Linked DNA regions of Macaca fascicularis. The protein of the gene in region 3 purifies or fractionates together with the protein of the main gene of each other region. This does not show direct contact. Links are inferred from orthologs where the notes say so. Each region holds a gene or a part of one and is shown on either strand. Other genes may lie near its edges.

Region 1 (4,077 bases), on a different chromosome or scaffold from region 3:
TATAAGTATTTTCTGAGTACCTTCTCTGGGGTATAAGTATACTAGGTTTGGGAGTACTAAAGACTAAATAAAACTTTAGACACCATCTCTTCCCTCAAGGTCACAACTGCTTTAAAAGAGGTCTGGATAAAGTGCCAAAGGAATTTTGGAAGATAAGCGAGCAATTAATTCTGCTGCCTGAGCAGATAAATGTGAAACAAGTACATATTGGGGGTGATTCTGTAAAGTATTAATAGCTGGGATGCCCAGCTCCATACTCTGAGGTTCTTTCTGCCACACTCTCTATAGGCCCAGCTCCAGCATCCAGATTCAAGACTCTAGGCAAGACTCACTGTAAAAAATCCATCGCCTGAGATCAGACCCCACAGGATAGAGAACAGCTATGGTATCGACATTGCTCCAGCCACATTCCTATCAGCAAATCAGAGAAGCCAAACTAGTCAGGTCAGCACTCACGGCCAGGGTAAGGATGAGTTAGTTACTCTATTACCAACAAGATTTTTTAACAAGTAGGAAACAAGTATTCTAGCCAACATTTTTTTAAACATCAAGCAAAAATCTCAAAACAATGTTCCTAATCACCCAGAAGAAGTTAAGCTTATGTGTTACCTCATCAACAACGCATAATTTATCACAATGTGTTGTCAACTACTTATGAAAAGGTTATACCAATTATGGGGAAATAATAATGAAAAGGTATAGGTCTTTGGGGTAGTAAACAAGAGCACTCAAAAACAATACTCTAATATAGTGTCATCAAAGCAGGGACTGTTAACTCTACACCATTTCATCACATACACTTGGAAATCCTATTTACCTTTTTCATTAACTCACTTCTGGTAGTAAATTGTGGCAGGTCTTCCACTTCAATCCCATCGGCCATTTCCATCACCTTGTCTAAAAGGTCTTTATTGTAACTGCACAATAAAAAGTAATAAGGTAAAAACCTCGGAAGAATTGTCATTGTGAATTAATAAGAAACTGCAGGTTGCTCAACCATAAAATCAACTCTCAGAGAACTGATCTGATACTGCAGGGCAAACCTATACATGTTCAGCACAAGGTTTTGAGATGGAGTCTTGCTGTATCCCCCAGGCTGGAGTGCAGTGCTGTGATCTTGGCTCACTGCCACCTCCACCTCCCAGGTTCAAGCAATTCTCCTGCCTCAGCCTCCTGAGTAGCTGGGATTACAGGCGTGTGCCACCATGCCCGGCTAATTTTAGTATTTTTAGTAGAGACAGGGTTTCACCATGTTGGCCAGGCTGGTCTCGAACTCCTGACCTCAAGTGATCTTCCTGCCTCGGTCTCCCAAAGTGCTGGGATTACTGGCTTGAGACACTGCGCCTGGTCCTGTGAACACTTCTTGCTTGTAGATACAGAAGTGGACTTTATAAATACCAGTAGAGCAAATGTTTCAAGATTTAGAAGAACAGAGGCACTGTACATCTAACAACAGATATTCTCAGATACGGGATGAGGGCCAAAATATTTTTGTTTATTTTTTAAATACATGGAATGTCAGTCTAACAAAAACATTATTTATTTGCCCAATTCTCTGACATTAGCCTAACCATGGAAAACCAGGATTTCCCAGGAGCACCTAGAAGTCAGGGAAAAGGGACGGGTGCCTCTGGCATTGGTTCCCTACGTACTGTTCTAATAAACCCCAATATGTGAAGCAAAACCAAGTGGCTTAGGCCTGGAGGAGCCAAATGACCAGAGTCAGGCAACCATAATAGGTATAGAAACCAAGATCAAACCAAGTCACCCTATTTTCCTAACACAATTTCAGGAAAATGGAGGCTCTCTAACAGGGAGTCTCAAGATTTGCCACCTTCCTCATGGAGGGGTGAAGGGAATGCCTTATCAGGCACTTCAAAAGCGGGTCTTTGTCCTTTTGGTGCAGCAGCCAGGATGAAGTGGGCTTTGGGACCTTGACAAAAAGGCATCGGTCATTTTCATAAGAGGGAAAACAAAGAGGTAAAGCTGGTTCCTACTTAGGACCCAGTGGGCTGTGGAGTGAGGACAAAAAGGCACAGGATACAGATTACATCCTGTCATTAGTGGTTAAAATCCATCAAACCTGCCAGAAGCTGCATGGTCCTAGTTACATCACTTCCCTCCCTAAGCTTTTTCATCTGTAAAATGGGGATCTCCGTTTCTGTCTCTGCACTTTGCCATGTAGGTGACAGAGGCTAACGGACTTCGAATGCACACTGCAAAGGTGATGGTTTGAGCTAATAATAGTAGTAATACATATAACAATAGCAACTTTTGAACCCGCCATGTATTTAGCTCTTCACCCTTTAATTATTACAGTCATCATAACCACCCTTTTACCAGAAGAGAAAACTGAGGCTCAAAGATAAGGATCGTTCCAAGGGGCCTTCAGGGTGGGAATCAGTCTTCGGGCCGGGCAATGCGGATGGAGGTTGGGAGCGGGTTCAGTCTGGGGCAGAGGTTCGGGTCAGGGGTGAGCCCTGGAAGAGGGCTTGAGGGTCGGAAGAGAGGGGACAGGATCAGCCGGCCGGCAGGGGTCCGCACCTGCAGCCTAGGAAGAGATGGTTGGCCCAGACCATGGAGAGGGACAGCAGCTGGTCCAGGCGGCCACCGCCGTCGGGCGGGTCGCGGTAGTCGGGCAGGTGGCGCAAGATGAATTCCATGCGGGCCTTCCATTGCTTCTCGCTCTCTGAGTAGGAGCGGAACTGCTCCGCGAAGTCGGCCGCCTGCCGCACTCCCGAGACCAGCTCCTCCACTGCAGCTGCCGCCTCGCCACCGACCATGGTGCCCGCTGCAGCCGAAGACCGGATAGCCCGCCGCCTTCCCGTCGCGCACTGCGCCACCACCTGCCAGCCAGAGGGGCCCCGTCAGCGCACGACTGCTCCAGAAGACCAGCCTGGAGCGCCCTCGCCCGGAGCGGCGGCCTGCGGGGGCACAGAGCGGCTCCTGGCTCCTCAGACCGCCGCAGCCCGCGGCGCATGCCCTGGGTCTACCCAGGGCTGCAAGGGCCCTTCGCGGTCGACCCTGCTGGGAACCGGTGGGAAAACTGAGGTCCCTAAGCACAGAGTCGGAGCGCCCTCTTCCAGTTGGCAGCTGGATGCCAGTCAGAGCTATGCTGTATCTTTCTTGCCCTGGGAGTTTCCCAGGCACCGCCTCATCCTAAGGGATATCAGGGGGCCCGGGTCAGGGATAGATAGGTCCACTTCCAGGGGTCTCCACAGCCACGCAGGTTGGGGCCCGCCTTCCTGGAGCGAGTAATCCATCCATCCGGTGAATACTTGCCAGGCACATTGCTAGGTGCTGGAGAGGCAATGAGAGCACACTCGGAGCCCTGCTCGCCTGAACTTTACCATCGAGTGGAGGAGCAGATATTAGTGAACTAATTGCTCAAGTAAGTGGAGAATTTCAGCGTTGACAAGTACTAGTAAAGAGAAGTCCAGCGTGCTACAACCATGAATAAGCAAGGAAGGGACCCAATCTAGTCTTGGGGTCAGGGAAGTGATCCTGGAGAACTGAAGAATGAGCAATTTTCTGAGAAAAGGGGAGTCGGTCAGAGCAAGAAAGAGCATGGCCTGGTAAGAGAATTGCAAGATACGGGGTAGGAGGGGCTGGGGGGCAGGGCAGGTAGATAATGGAGAAGATGAGGTTGCAGAGGTCAGCAAGGCCAGTAGGCCAGGCAGGGATCCTGGCTAGATCCCAAGAATGGGGAGCCACTGAAGGATTTTAACCAGAACAGTGACACCTGGGTTTACAAAAGATGCTGGAAGGAGTCAGAAAGAATGTGTCCAGAGGAAATGAGCAAGTTTGGATTTGGTTTTAAATAGAGACAGGGTTTCGCCGTGTTGCCCAGGCTGAGTCTCGAACTCCTGAGCTCAAGTGATCTGTCTCAGCCTCCCAAAATGCTGGGATTACACGTGTGAGCCATCGCGACTGGCTAGTCCTGAAAGTTTCTATTTAGCTGGCATGACTCGGCTGTCTGTTCTAGGCTCAGGTAGCAGACACACTGAGAGACAAAAGAGCTTCCTTTAAAGTGGTGAATTCCCCATCCCTGGAAGCATTCAAGTACAGTAACTGGGT
Region 2 (4,326 bases), on a different chromosome or scaffold from region 3:
GGCGTGAGCCACTGCGCCCGGCCGTGAGAACATTCTTGATTTAAAATTCACATATATAATCTAGGTATGCGATCACAGCTTCTTTTACTTGCTATGGTCCATGAAAGGAGAAATCATAATTTCTCCACCTTTTAAATAGCCAGATTTCTGCAATCCGTCCACCCCCTCTAGATTTTCAGCAATTATCTGTGAAAAGGAGGAAGGAATAGCAAACTAGAAGCAAAATCATAAGCTTCAAAATTTCTTTGTGCCTCCGTTTTTATGCAGTTTCTTTTGGTATGGCAGGAAAATGGACAATATTGTTTTCATACAATAGCTGTATTTTGTTCCAGCATGCGCATAAATTACACAGTTAACCTTATCTGACCTTACCTAAAGCGACCTTTTTTGCTTGATTATTCTGATTCATGCATTTTTACATCAGTCTACATTTAGTGAAAGAAAAAATTCATAATTTATATCATTTAACGTATTAATCTTAAAAGTGCATGTATACCTGGAATGGAAAACGTAATAAGCAAGCTAGCAGTTAGAGTACTTAACTGTGGGAAACGTAAAGTGGAAAAAAATATATAGAAGGAAAATATAGCTCTAACAGGGAGAGGTTTGGGGCCCCATAGATAAATAGGCACATTTCCACTCCACCTCCGGACATCTGCCGGTTGGTGGTAAAGTGGCTGATTTTAGGAAATTCTAGAGACAGAACGTTGTCGGGGTGGTGGTGTGCTATTGACCAAAACAGGAAGGCAATGCCTGGATTAACTAGAGACCTAAGAAACTGCGGGAACAAGCGCAATCGCTGCGGGGCCAGGACTAGCTTCGAAGGCAGCAAGCCTCACAGCAACACGGAGCCGGGTCCTCGTGTGACCTTGGTATGTAAGGAGACCGGCACCCTCATCCTCTTGACGGCGCCGAGACTCCGACGGCCTCGGAACGCTTCGCTCGGGCACACTGAAAGCAGCGCGAGACACACTTCCCGACATTCTATAAACTTGGAGGCCGGCTTTTGTTTGTTTTGGCCCCGCTCACACACACACGCGTCTCAGAGCCGGGACCATAGGCCCCGCGGCTGCTGGCGGCTCAAGGTCCCCCGGGACGCCGCCCTGGAGGACTTTGCCCGCCGCGCCCGGCTGCCTCCCTTGCCGGGCCCTGCCCCTCTCGCCTCTGCTCCCGGCGCCGCAGCTGACCCGGCGCAGGAGGAGGGCGACAGCAGTGCGTGGCGTCACAAAGCGAGGCCAGAACGCCTGGGGTTCCGCCGCGACTCGGTCGTCCCGGGGCAGCCCGACTTGAAATCCGCCCTCACAGGGAGTGAGACGCCCGACGCCCGCTCGCCCCACCCTCGGGGTCCCCTCTGTGCCCTGACCTGGACGCAGCGTCGCGGCGGCCCCGGCGCCGCAAAGCGTCCTGGGAGCGCCGGCTCGCGCCGGAAGAACGCGAGGGCGCGCGGCGGCGGCGAGGTTATAAAAGGGAAGAAGCCGGCGGCGGGCGGAAGTGGGCGGTTCGGCTGCTCCGGGAGCTGTTGTTTGGTCTTTGGGCCTCTGGAGGGGCGTTATCTGGAGGGCCGCCGGTGCAGGCCGCAGTGACAGGGCTGCTCTCCCGGCGCTCCGTGCCAGTCTCCCGTTGCAGCTGTGCTCGCGGCCTCCGCGGCCTGCAGGCCCAACATGGCGCAGGAGGTGTCAGAGTACCTGAGCCAGAACCCGCGGGTGGCCGCCTGGGTGGAGGCGCTGCGCTGCGACGGCGAGACTGACAAACACTGGCGCCACCGCCGGGATTTTTTGCTCCGCAACGCCGGGGACCTGGCCCCCGCTGGCGGCGCTGCCTCCGCTAGCACGGATGAAGCTGCCGACACCGAGAGCGGGACCCGAAACCGGCAGCTGCAGCAGCTCATCTCCTTTTCCATGGCCTGGGCGAACCACGTCTTCCTCGGGTGCCGGTGAGTGAGGCAGCGTCCCTAACCAGCACGCCCCGTTTTGTCTGCCACCTGCAGACCGGCGCTCGGCGCCCTCCGCGGGACCGGCCTCGGCGGGGAGGGGAAGTTGTGAAGCGCGGGAATCTGCCGGCCCGGCTGCCCTCTAAGGGTGAGAAGGGTGTCGCTGCGAGGAGCCGACATGATTCCCGGACGTCTGTGTGCCCCGTGGTGTGGGGGGAGCTGCTGGTAGGGTTGCTGGTGTTAGGGGCAATGCTTTTGGGGACGGGTGCTAGATTTAAGGTTAGTGAGGAGGTACCCTGCCTCGTAGACCCTGGGGCACTTGTTTATGGAGGTCCAGGAAACAGTTCTTGGCGGTTGGTCCACTTTCTTGATTGCAGCCAGGAAATGCAGTTCCTGTGGCCTGTTTTTTGCAAAGCACAAATAGGACCTTAGAAAAAACACTTTTTTAAAAATGGCTTTTTCTTCTTTTTCAGATACCCTCAAAAAGTTATGGATAAAATACTTAGTATGGCTGAAGGCATCAAAGTGACAGATGCTCCAACCTATACAACAAGAGACGAACTGGTTGCCAAGGTGAAGAAAAGAGGGATATCGAGTAGCAATGGTTAGCAGATCATAGATGTGAACATACATAGGAGTTTAGAGCATAAGTTTGATATAATTAGGAATTATCGTTATTAATTTTTTTAACAAGCCAGAATTTTTATGTTATCAATAAGTAATAAAGTTGGAATGTTAAACCTAAACTATGTATCTGTGTCTTTAGGCTTTGAATTTGATAGTTTGACTGCTTTAGATATTGAAGTGTCCACTGTTGTCTGATGCTGTTTTTTTTTTAAATATTAGACATTCATGATGTTATTCAACACTGTTTTAAGAAATTAATGACTCCACACTTTTTAAAGAAACGATTAGTCTTGAAATATTTTCACTTTGTGCCTTTATTTTAATGTGTATTTGTCTCACCCGTTTTATACGAGGTATTCTTAGTCATGTATCTATGTTTTTCTTCTTTTTAGAAGGGGTAGAAGAGCCATCCAAAAAACGAGTTATAGAAGGGAAAAACAGTTCTGCAGTTGAGCAAGATCATGCAAAAACTTCTGCCAAGACAGAACGTGCATCAGCTCAGCAGGAAAACAGTTCAGCGGGTACAGGGGCGGCCATCAAATCAGAGAGTGGGAACTCAGCTTGGAGCGCTGGCATCTCCAGTCAGAATAGCTCTACAAGTGATGGAGATCGATCTGTCTCCAGCCAAAGCAGCAGCAGCGTTTCCTCTCAGGTAACAACGGCAGGATCTGGGAAAGCTTCTGAAGCAGAAGCTCCAGATAAACACGGTTCTGCATCATTTGTTTCCTTGCTGAAATCCAGTGTGAATAGTCACATGACCCAATCCACTGATTCTAGACAACAAGGTGGATCACCTAAAAAGAGTGCTTTGGAAGGCTCTTCAGCCTCAGCTTCTCAAAGCAGCTCAGAGATCGAGGTGCCCTTGTTGGGCTCCTCAGGAAGCTCAGAAGTAGAATTGCCACTGTTGTCTTCCAAACCTAGTTCAGAGACAGTTTCAAGTGGGTTAACTTCCAAAACTAGTTCAGAGGCAAGTGTTTCATCATCAGTTGCTAAAAACAGTTCCTCATCAGGCACATCCTTACTGACCCCCAAGAGCAGCTCTTCAACAAATACATCGCTGCTAACTTCCAAAAGCACTTCCCAGGTGGCTGCGTCACTTCTAGCTTCCAAGAGCAGCTCCCAGACCAGTGGCTCACTGGTTTCCAAAAGCACTTCCTTAGCAAGTGTGTCCCAGTTGGCTTCTAAGAGTAGTTCTCAGACCAGCACCTCACAGCTGCCTTCTAAAAGTACTTCACAGTCAAGTGAGAGTGCTGTCAAATTCTCTTGCAAGTTAACCAATGAAGATGTGAAACAGAAGCAGCCTTTTTTCAATAGACTGTATAAAACGGTGGCATGGAAGTTGGTAGCTGTTGGTGGCTTTAGTCCCAATGTGAATCATGGAGAGCTTCTAAATGCAGCTATTGAGGCTCTGAAAGCAACACTGGATGTATTTTTTGTCCCACTAAAAGAATTAGCAGATCTGCCTCAAAATAAGAGCTCTCAAGAAAGTATTGTTTGTGAATTGAGGTGCAAGTCTGTGTATTTGGGCACTGGCTGTGGAAAAAGCAAAGAAAATGCAAAAGCAGTTGCATCAAGAGAAGCATTGAAGTTATTTCTCAAGAAAAAGGTGGTGGTAAAAATATGTAAAAGGAAATACAGAGGCAGTGAAATAGAAGATCTAGTACTCCTTGATGAAGAATCGAGGCCTGTAAACTTACCTCCAGCATTAAAACATCCTCAAGAATTACTATAATGTGTCCAAAATATCACTGCATACAATATCTGGTATT
Region 3 (3,645 bases):
AGGGAAGCCAGCTTATGAACCTAAAATTACAAACAAGTTCATTTAAATATTTTTTAAATATTTGGGAACATAGCGATTTAAGGCAGACCCACAACTTACTAATCTTGCTATATTTTGATATGTAAGAATGGAAATTTCCATTTAAAAATTACTTTCCTATATATATTTTTTAAATCATGAATCCCATTTTATGGCTTCATAGTGATGGCAAGACGACAAAATTGGCTTTAAGAGAAAATTCAGCTATCGAAAACCTAACCATGTAAGGATACCCCATCTCCAATAACCCTGGAAGCTTTTCTTTCCTCCGACAGTCAACTAGCATTTTATGGGGCAGGGCAGAAGGATAAATAATGTCAGTCATATCAAAGTACAGCCTTGAATGATCGCCCTTAATCTTTCTGAAGTATCAAAATGTGAAACTTACTGTCAAATTTTTCCACCCAGGGTCATTATTTAAACGATCAGCTATGTAATAGCGAAGGCATTTAGCAAGATTGTCCATAAATTCAGTTCCCTAAAACGATAGAAAGAAACAAATTAACCTATCATTTAAGAGTTAGCAATAGCTAGCAAAGTATGAGACTACTTACTGGTGTAATACAGTTGCTGTCGAATCTTTCTTTTATTTCTTCTGGAGGAAGAAAGCCACCTAGAGAAAAGAGGCAACATTTTGTTCTCCCCATAAAAAGTGAGATACATTACTCAATATTAAGCCAGAACAACAAAAACAAAAAGTTCAAATACAAAAGGAAGTGAAGTCTTGTCATCCGAGGAACAATGTTCCCTCACTGGGAAGAAAATAAGATTCCATCTCTCAAATTTAAATTATTATTATTATTACTATTATTATTATTATTTGAGACAGAGTATCGTTCTGTCACCCAGGCTGGAGTGCAATGGTGCAATCTCGGCTCACTGCAACCTCCGCATTCCAGGGTTCAAGCTATTCTCCTGTCTCAGCCTCCTGAGAAGCTGGGATTACAGGCACCTGCCACCACGCCTGGATAATTTTTGTATTTTTAGTAGAGACGGGCTTTCATTGTGTTGGCCAGGCTGGTCTCGAACTCCTGACCTCCAGTCATCCGCCCTCCTCGGCCTCCCAAAATGCCGGGATTACAGGGGTGAGCCATCATGCTCAGACTTTTAAATTATGTTTTAACAAGAATGTAAAACAATATATGGTACACAAAATACATTATACTGTTACATAAAAATTATGAAGTTATTCACTCTGCAAGAGACTATACACACACACACACACACACACACACACACACACACACACACACACACACACACACACCAGTTAGGGGCCATATTTTTGTTAACAGTTCCTAAAATAAAGGTGCCTAAGTGAAATGAAATTTTAAAGGCCGAGTTCATCACAGCTTTACAGGATAAGAAATACAATTATCAGACAGAGGAATATAAAAATCCAATTTTTTCCTCTATATCACTATTAGCTGCTTCTCAAGAAACAAATATATTTCATCACATCTTCAAAAAAAAAGACATTCTTAAAATCAGAAACACTGTTATAAATACAAACTGGTTTTAGAGTCTTAATTACAAGTTGCAGCTAAAGGAACTATATACTTGTACACTTCCAGCAAAATTAAAGTAATATAAAATGTATTGTAATTAGAGGCCTGAGGTGACTATACTATGGCATCCTTTTTCAACTGTAGAGCGCAATTATCTGGAGCCAAGACATTGTGGCTTTTCTGTTCTATTATAACCCTGTAAGTAGCTGAACACCAAACAAACTACTCTGCTACAACCATACCCTACCTCACACACAGGTATGGTAGGAGACAACCATCCCAACTGGCATCAACACTCCTTGATCCTCCTTTTCTCTGAGGCTTAGTCAGTTCCTACCCATGTAGCCACCAGGAATTTTTTTTTTTTTTTTTTTTTTTTTTGAGATGGGGTCTCGCTCTGTCACCCAGGCTGGAATGCAGTGGCGCGATCTCGGCTCACTGCAACCTCTGCCTCCTGGGTTCAAGCAATTCTTCTGCCTCAGCCTCCCAAGTAGCTGGGACTACAGGCATGTGCCACCATGCCCGGCTAATTTTTTGTGCTTTTTTTTAGTAGAGACGGGGTTTCACCATGTTAGCCAGGATGGTCTCAATCTCCTGACCTCGTGATCCACCCGCCTTGGTCTCCCAAAGTGCTGGGATTACAGGCGTGAGCCACCGCGCCCAACCACCACCAGGAATTTTAAGGCTTTGGGGAACTGCAAAAATGAAGACATCCCACCCCACCCCTCCAAACTTAAAGGAACCATAAGTGCTGTGCCTGCTCCATCAACTTATATTGAAAGTATGCAAATGACTTGGCAACAACCTGTAAATGTGGATCGAATCACCTCTGGCTTCCTCAGATAGACCTGAGTTTCAAAAAGCAAGCAAACCAAAGCTGATTTGAAGAAAATGTTTACAGAACTATAGCTTTCTGACAGCTGCCACAGAGAAAAGTAGTAAATAGTACTTACTGTATTTCTATTTTACAGAGACATAAAAGTTTGTTAAAGAGTTGCACTGGCCCTGAGAGGGGTTGACAATCTGCACTCTCCACCAGAATTCCCTATTCCCAAGGCTCCCTTTTACAGGAGAATTTGAAAATAAACAAGCCTATTAAGCCTATTGGTAGGATTTCATGAACTACTTTTCCTCAACAGTGAACACTGGATATTCTGGGATCCTTATTAAATTAAAAGCTTGCCTATTTGTAAGAAAAAGTTGCCACCATCCCCTCATTCTGCATACATCTTATAAAAAATCCAACTTCAAGATACATATTCTTTACCTTTTGCCAATATTTCTTCCCTGACTCGCTGCTTCTCGACTGCTGCTTCCATTCCTTCTTTTGATGCTCTGAACCTCCTTGAACGCTGCTGGTTCATTTTGGCACGTGGTGCCTGAAAATTTCATATTCCATAATACTAATCAAAATATTCACAAATAAATCTGTACATTATTTTGAATCAGGTGTTCTTTTAAAAGTAGTATACTAAAATGGAAGAAAGGTAAGTAGTGTGTCGAATAATCCTTTCATGGCAGATACCAGATCCTGAGAACTTAAATTTGGACCAAGAACCTAAAAGCTGAGCTCAATCAGGTGAATGAGTGCCATGTCAAATGGACAAACATCCTATGAAGCCAGAGCACTTATACTGCAAGTCCTCCCAGTCTAACACCAGTTCCCCTCAGTTAGGGTGCTTGATTCAAGGCACCCAAGAAAGAAAGCTCACTTTACTCAAAAGACCCAGCCAGCATTTGATGAGTAGTTACTACTGAACTAAGATCAGGAAGACCTTCTCTATGTCCACACCTAAAAGGAAGAATGGTCTCCAGATGGGATTCACAATGTCTCATAAAAAAGCAACAGAAAACTATTTCTTTATCTGCAGAATCTCGGTGCACTTCTATTTCCCACAATAAGGTTTATAATTATTAGTCTGTCTTTTCAATACAGCATAGCAGTCAGAAAAGAAATAATGTTTTAACCAAAAGTACTTTTAAATCACTCTAACCAAATGCAATTTCACTGGAAAAGCCCAAATAAAGTGAACCAGATTGTAAGATTTTGGAAGTTACTGAACTGAGTTCTGGGGTGGGAAGAAACTGTGAAACATCC

What was found. Proteins that work in one complex are often made in the same cells at the same time.
Region 1: the proteins of XRN2 (region 3) and CDKN2AIPNL purify together in Homo sapiens (co-immunoprecipitation; 6 studies listed by BioGRID and IntAct, with this or other methods). This does not show direct contact. The link is inferred for Macaca fascicularis from reciprocal best matches to the Homo sapiens genes XRN2 and CDKN2AIPNL.
Region 2: the proteins of XRN2 (region 3) and CDKN2AIP purify together in Homo sapiens (affinity purification with mass spectrometry; 4 studies listed by BioGRID and IntAct, with this or other methods). This does not show direct contact. The link is inferred for Macaca fascicularis from reciprocal best matches to the Homo sapiens genes XRN2 and CDKN2AIP.

What each region holds. Positions count from the first base shown.
Region 1 is NC_088380.1:140,948,950-140,953,026, forward strand, and holds the start of CDKN2AIPNL (CDKN2AIP N-terminal-like protein), read right to left. Parts: upstream 2,837-4,077; 5' UTR 2,784-2,836; coding exon 2,545-2,783; intron 918-2,544; coding exon 818-917; intron 412-817; coding exon 333-411; intron 1-332.
Region 2 is NC_088379.1:188,236,270-188,240,595, forward strand, and holds the start of CDKN2AIP (CDKN2A-interacting protein), read left to right. Parts: upstream 1-1,490; 5' UTR 1,491-1,661; coding exon 1,662-1,933; intron 1,934-2,403; coding exon 2,404-2,534; intron 2,535-2,949; coding exon 2,950-4,289; 3' UTR 4,290-4,326. UniProt on the Homo sapiens protein: Regulates DNA damage response in a dose-dependent manner through a number of signaling pathways involved in cell proliferation, apoptosis and senescence.
Region 3 is NC_088384.1:65,998,655-66,002,299, forward strand, and holds part of XRN2 (5'-3' exoribonuclease 2), read right to left. Parts: intron 2,927-3,645; coding exon 2,815-2,926; intron 653-2,814; coding exon 594-652; intron 518-593; coding exon 428-517; intron 1-427. UniProt on the Homo sapiens protein: Possesses 5'->3' exoribonuclease activity. May promote the termination of transcription by RNA polymerase II.